2 linked regions of the Tribolium castaneum genome follow. The protein of the gene in region 1 purifies or fractionates together with the protein of each later gene. This does not show direct contact. Links are inferred from orthologs where the notes say so. Each region holds a gene or a part of one and is shown on either strand. Other genes may lie near its edges. The genes, in order: ECSIT and 140up.

Region 1 (3,564 bases):
CAAAGTTGTCGATAAAAGCTTATTGATTTTTGTAGTGGTGTTCCAGTCGCTTTTGAGAAAACTATTTTCTTTGAAGACCACATCGACGCCCAGATCTGGATGATTTCTGACCACACCGCGGTAAATCGAGCGCTGACTTTTGATATCTGAAAGGAACAATTTAAACGATTTCCAGGCGCCAAATGGTAAGTACCTCCCAGAGACTTTTTTATTCGTATTTTTAAAGGCGGAACGTTTATTTCCTTGATAATGCCATTAATCTCTGCGATAAGCAAGCAGTGTATTATCACCATGATCAGACTTATGAGCGTTTCCATTACAAAATTTGGCGATGAGTAAATGTGGACGAAAATCGTGTGAGACCACAATTTCGCTGCGGACTCAACTAGCGAATTCATTTTTGAAATTTTGACAAGAAATTTTGAGATTTTTAATTAAAAAAAAAAACGTTCCGTAGCAACGCATTTAACAAATATTTTCACCGGCAATTGTTCCCATTTCTCCAATTAATTAAACGAATCGTTCAAACACCACTCCGCTTTCTGATTGGCTGACCTCTAAAAGACCGCGCGTTTGCACCAATCAGATTCACGCCCCGCCTGACCGATCCTCATTTGTTTGGATGCGTAGTACTTTCGCGCAGTTCACTTGTCTCATTTATCCGTTGGCTTGATATTTGATTTTACGACCTCCGACAAAAACGTGCATTTCCGCTTGATCATTCCTTTGTTTCACCAATTTGTTAACTGAAGATTTGTGAAAGAAAATCTTCTAGCCCGGTTTTTAACCCCCGAAATAATCGTAGTGTGTGGCTTTTGAACCAGTATAAACCGGTAAAAACTAACACCAAATAGGTAAGTAACGTTTTTTCCAATTTTGGTAGTTTTTCATTAAAACTTTCCAGAATGACTTCCACTAATATCTTCACGGGGGTGGGCGGTGGCCGTAACTCCAGCCGGGTCTTGAAGCCTCCAGGTGGAGGACATACGGACGTCCTGGGGCTTTCAGCCCCGCCTGAGAGGCCCCAAGAGAAGAAGATCAATCCGAGGAACATTTCTTCCATTACTGAGGGCACGAATGTGAACATGACTGAAGCAAAACCGGTGCAAAAGACTGAAGAAAAGCCGGTTCAGAGGGCGGAAGAAACCCCCAAAGAACCGGTGAAACAAGCCACTGAGGCCCCAAAGCCTTCCGCACCGGCCAATCAAGAAGCCCCGCCCCCGCCACAAAATAACGGCAACTCGCGCGGGCGGGTGCCCCCAGGGGGCTTCTCTTCCGGCGGTTTTTGGTAAACCATGACTTATGTGCTTATACTTGTGATGCTTTGAATTTTTATGACCACTTATTTGCGAATATGTGCAACAGTATTTATAACAATTAATAAATAGTCTCATTTTGGATAACTCGTGTTTCTTTTCCCGTGATAACACCGATAATAGAATGTTTTGTAACGGCTAGAGTCCGTTAAACCCATTCTATTTTTCAAACGGTTTTCATACGTATTGTTGGTTGTATAAATACAATTTCATAAAAACTCGTATTTTTTATTTACGTTTTAAAGGACGGTCAAAAGGGCACAATTTAACCGAAAGAATTTTACGTATTTCATTTTTAATTGTATTTTAAAATGTGGTGACAACGTAACCTCAAAATTACATAACCTATAAACCCGAAGTCTCGAATTTTATCAAACCGGTGGCAAGTATGCCAATTTTAACGATTAAATAAACGAGTTAAAATGTTCGTGACCAGGCTTGTGCCCCTGATGCGGGGCAACTTGCGCATTGTCCCAAAAGTGGGCCCCCTTGCGCGAACATTTAGCGATTCGTCCGAGCCCAAGCAACTGGTGACCTACCGCTCGTTTGAAGAAATCGAAACAAAGAACAAGAACACATACTTGGACATGATCCACATTTTCGTCAACCGAGACAGTGTCCACCGGCGGGGCCACGTTGAATTTATCTACTCTGCGCTAAAAAACATGGAAAGTTTTGGGGTCCACAAGGACCTTGAAGTGTACAAAGCCCTAATAGACGTCCTGCCGAAAGGCAAATTCATTCCGAGGAACATGTTTCAAGTCGAGTTCATGCACTACCCCAAGCAGCAGCAGTGCATTATCGACTTACTCGAACAAATGGAAGACAACGCTGTGATGCCCGACTACGACATGGAGGAGCTTTTGAAAAATATTTTCGGAAATCGGGGATTCCCCTTGCGCAAATATTGGCGGATGATGTACTGGATGCCCAAATTTAAAAACGCGTCGCCTTGGCCCATCCCGAACCCGCTCCCTGACGGCGTGTACGAGCTGGCAAAGTGCGCAATTGAGCGGATCAGCAGTGTGGACATCCAGACACAAGTTACGACGTATCAGAGTAAAGACATCGAGGATTGTGTGGACGATACGTGGATTATTAGCGCGCAAGCCCCCATCCAGAAGGACCTGTTGAAGAGACACGACGTGACGGAGCCTTTGTACGTCGAGGGGCCCTTTCGCGTCTGGCTGAAGCACCAACAAGTGACTTACTTCACCTTGCGCAAAAACGCCAAATTCGTAGCTCCAATCAAAGAGGATCTAGATGATGTCAGTGACATTAAAATCCCCTTTTTCAACATCAAGCCACCCGTGAAAAATCTGACAGTGGTACCAAGTGTCCATGAGCAAGAAGATGGTACTATTCTGGCACTATGTGCTACTGGGACCTCCAGTAAAGACTCACTAGTTTCGTGGATTCGGCATTTGGAAAAGGATAATCCGGTGTTGGCCGAAGTTCCGGTAGTTTTTACGCTTCGGAGCGGAACTAAAGAAATTGTCACAGTTGGCGATGATAGGAAACAAATTGAAAATAAATGAATTAGTTAGTTATTAATTTTTATTTCTTATTCTCTTGGAGGATAATTCATTGGAGTCCCTGGCGATTGATACAACGGCCGACTTTGAGCCGTATAAAGTGACGCGGGGGCTGATTGTTGGTATTGTTGTTGGCTCCTGACGGGGTACCCCGCTGTGATGCTCCCAGTCTTGGGCTGCGCGGGGCTCAAGGGTATGGAGCCCCCATGAATGACGTGTCCGTGCGAACTCGGTACTCTTAGAGTGTAATGTTCGGGTAATTTCTGCTCCAAGTGGTACGTTTGGGGCCGTGGGGGCTCGTAGGCGCTCCTAGAGGGTGGGGGCTCCCGCGACGAGATGGACCCCAAAGGATAATACATCGAAATATCCTGCGGAGAGACCGAATAAAACGTTGCTTGCTGACTCGGATATTGCGTCTCTGAAATTATCGACGAAATTACAACACTGAAAAGTGATAATTAAATGGAAAAAGCATGAATGGGTGGTGATAAATGAAGCCACAACTTTCTCGACTAATGAAGGAAGCTTCCCTTCACCCAGAAAAAATTAAGTGGTGCCTGAGTGAAAAGAACCTCTTCATTATGAATGAAGCTAAAGTGGTGTAGAAACACTCACTGTTCCATAAAACTGCCCTCACTAACTCATTACGTCTACCATCATCTTCTGCAAACAAAATCGGTTAAAACCTAGCTAGAACATTACCACGAAACAGT
Region 2 (3,274 bases), on another chromosome or scaffold:
ATTTTATCGTTTTTGCCGAGGATAACTTAATAGAGAGTTTCAATCAAAAAGTGGGCTTGAATACGTTAATATAGAGACTTTAATTTAGCTCGTTTATTTCAGTTAAGCGAATGGAAAACTTTAACAAACCATGCGTTTACGTACAAAGTTATGGCTTTGACGTTTCCTGTGAAGGACGCAGAGGAGTGGAAGAGGCTTTTTAAGCCTTGTGCAGCCCAGAGATTATTTCTACCTGTTGTCCTCTACTCAATATTTTCCACATTTTATGAAATTATTTTTTAGAATATTTTAAAAGACGTAGATTCCTTATTGTACATGGATACAGATACGTTGTTTTTGACGCCAGTCGAGAACATTTGGAGCTATTTCCACAAGATGAATTCTAGTCAGATGGCTGCGTTGGCCCCAGAACATGAGGACCCAAACGTTGGGTGGTACAACCGTTTTGCCAAACACCCATTTTACGGAAAATTGGGTACAATTGTGTGACTTTTTTGCACTTTGTAATCCCCAATTTCAGGCGTAAATTCCGGCGTGATGTTAATGAATTTGACCAGAATGAGGGCGTTCCAGTGGAGTGAGTACGTAGTCCCCATTTATAGAAAATACAAATTGAAGATAACGTGGGGCGACCAGGACATAATCAATATAATTTTCCACTACCACCCTGGTATATGACCATTTTTGGTGCGATTTTATAAAATTGTGATTCGTTTTAGGGAAATTGTATTTATATTCGTGTAGGTTTAATTTCCGACCTGACCACTGCATGTACATGAGTGTTTGTAAGCCGGCGGAAAAGTTCGGAGTGGCTGTGGTCCATGGTTCTCGCGGGTTTTTCCACTCAGAGAAACAGCCGGTTTTTCAAGCAATTTATAGAGCTTTTGAAGAGGTTGTTACTACCGATTACAGGAATCTGTAATTGAAAACGCAGTTTTAGTTCCGTCTAGGGGGTGATGTATTCAAGGATTTTTACCAACCGCTTGAAGCCTTTTTGGAACAAGTTCAGAACACGAACTGTGGCCATATTAAAGACATTTTTCTCAAAAACGTGCGACTTTACATTAACATGGAAGACACCAGTTAGTAAGCCAGAGTTTGTTAATGCAACGAAGCTGTCCATCAATGCAGGATATTTTATTTACAAGTGGAGTTTATACTTTTATAAGCTGAATAAATAATTATTGAGCCCTCCACTTGAATTTTCTGGTGATTAGATCTCTCACTGAAAGTATAAATTACATTAGCTATTTTTTTGAAGTGCGTGAATAATTTATAACATAATTTTGAAAGAAAATGAAACGTTATCGTTTTCCTAGTTCTGAAACAGCTAATAGAAATATTTGCATTTACCTGAGAAAAACTAAAAATTCTTTAAAATCTTCGTCTCCTGAATTGATCAACAATAAATAATATCCGTAGAACACAAAGTAAAAACGGTTATTAACACTATAAACGTCGTTAATCCTAAATCTTTAGCACAAAACCAAAAATAAGTTGGACCATTTTTAAATTTTGTTTAAACCAAGATTGGGATGGCGATTTTTTTAGGTTGGTGCACCTGTTTACGCCTTTTTTATGTAGGGAATTTGAAGGTTATGTAACCTAACCTATTTTTTTTTGAAAAATGTTGCGAAAAGTGTTAAAGCCCACAACGTTGTGTGCTCTTTGGCCGCTTGATTTTCTCAATGACAATGATAAGTTGAGGCAAGACACTCCCACCGAGCAAAAAGTTGATTTATCAACTTTGCCGGAAGAGACAGGTTGGGACCGTCTGAAGCGGGTTTTTGAGGCCGAGTCGGTACGAAACCATTGGGCTCCATGTAGTTAATTGTTCAATTGTAGTGACTTTGGTGAGGTCAGCAAGGAATTACTCACTGTTTTACACGTCGGGGGCATGAGTTTGTTCGTGGGGGGCATTTACGGGGGCGTTGTGCACAGTAGGGTGGCCTATGTGAATTTTATGAAGAACAACCAAGCCACGGCTTTTACTGATCATCTCGAGGCCAAGGTATGGCGGCTCTGGCTGTTTTTAAGCGAATTAATTTTGTCCAGTGCAGAAAAAATTGCAAGATGCGGTTACGAAAAGTTTCGGGAAGGGGGCCTGGATGTGGTCGTGGAGGCTTGCCTCGTTCACGATGTCTTTTACGTAAGGAAGATTGGATTGTTGTTGGTATTTTTCCTTGTTATTTATTAGGGCAATTTCAACTGGAATTTCTGTATACCGGGGGAAATCGGGAATTCTGGAATACGTTGTTGCGGGGTTATTTAGTGGTACCTTGTATAAGTGGAATATGGGTCCGAGGGGCTGGGTAGTCGGGGGCGGATTAGGTATTTTCTCAACTAGCCAAGCCTTGGTTAATTTATTTTTGATCCAGGGGCAGTGTTGGGTTTAATAGCAGGCGGTGCCACTTTAGGTTTGTTAAGTTTGACAGGGATGTCGATGGATGAGGTCAGGTACTGGCAGTACCACTGGCAACGAGAGCGGCAAAACTACACAAATAAGGGTATAGCTGAGTACCTTGCCAAGGAAGAAGATGAAGTTGTCCAGCACCACAATAAGAGAGTCGGAAATTCGGGAAAAACATTAGAAAATGTGGCCGAGTAATTGTGATAACTGTATTCATGTAACACGAAAGCGACTGATAGTTAATACTACTTAATGATTTATACAATGAGCTTCAAATACAAAAATATTTGTTTGAAAAAGCTAGTTGAGCGCATGTTAACCGAATAAATAATTTATATAAAGCATACAACCGCCGTTTCAATTGTCCACGTTTTGAGACTTTGTCATTCGTTTTGGTCCTCGGTTTGGTGGCCCTTTCGGTTTGGCAAATTTCGGACGGTGCAAATTTTTTGTTGGGTGTATCTCCTCGTACAGGAACTCTTCGGTCAACTCAGACCCTGAATCAATTTCCAACTGAAATTTTTCCGTTATCAGATGAGTAAAATACTACGAGCGGAACAACAAATTGAACATTTTCTATTCTGTTTCTACTTCGTTAATTACTTATCAACATCAAATTTTTATTAATACTGCTAAAATAATTGTTTATTCAAAAGATTTTTCTCTTCTCATAATAGATCAAGAAAACAATGGAAATTTTTAAAACTAGGGACTTTGTCACAGATCATGAAGAAAACTAAAAGCACTTCGAGTATAAACCGGATGAAGAAATAACATCTAGTAATGGTTATCGTGTTTTTTATTTTATTTGCTTTAAGTTTTTTGTTCGAAAAATAACAATTTTTCTGCAATACAACTCTGTGT

What was found.
Region 2: the proteins of ECSIT (region 1) and 140up purify together in Homo sapiens (affinity purification with mass spectrometry; 3 studies listed by BioGRID and IntAct, counting the BioPlex papers as one, with this or other methods). This does not show direct contact. The link is inferred for Tribolium castaneum from reciprocal best matches to the Homo sapiens genes ECSIT and TIMMDC1.

What each region holds. Positions count from the first base shown.
Region 1 is NC_087396.1:20,767,932-20,771,495, forward strand, and holds ECSIT (evolutionarily conserved signaling intermediate in Toll pathway, mitochondrial), read left to right. Parts: upstream 1-1,585; 5' UTR 1,586-1,738; coding exon 1,739-2,854; 3' UTR 2,855-2,866; downstream 2,867-3,564. Other genes in the region: jupiter microtubule associated homolog 1, read left to right, coding at 906-1,292; G protein pathway suppressor 2, read right to left, coding at 2,881-3,269, 3,467-3,514.
Region 2 is NC_087395.1:15,888,261-15,891,534, forward strand, and holds 140up (RPII140-upstream gene protein), read left to right. Parts: upstream 1-1,562; 5' UTR 1,563-1,627; coding exon 1,628-1,797; intron 1,798-1,845; coding exon 1,846-2,011; intron 2,012-2,060; coding exon 2,061-2,149; intron 2,150-2,197; coding exon 2,198-2,331; intron 2,332-2,378; coding exon 2,379-2,608; 3' UTR 2,609-2,759; downstream 2,760-3,274. Other genes in the region: glucoside xylosyltransferase 2, read left to right, coding at 1-50, 103-234, 283-475, 521-670, 720-892, 941-1,087; twf (twinfilin), read right to left, coding at 2,768-2,923.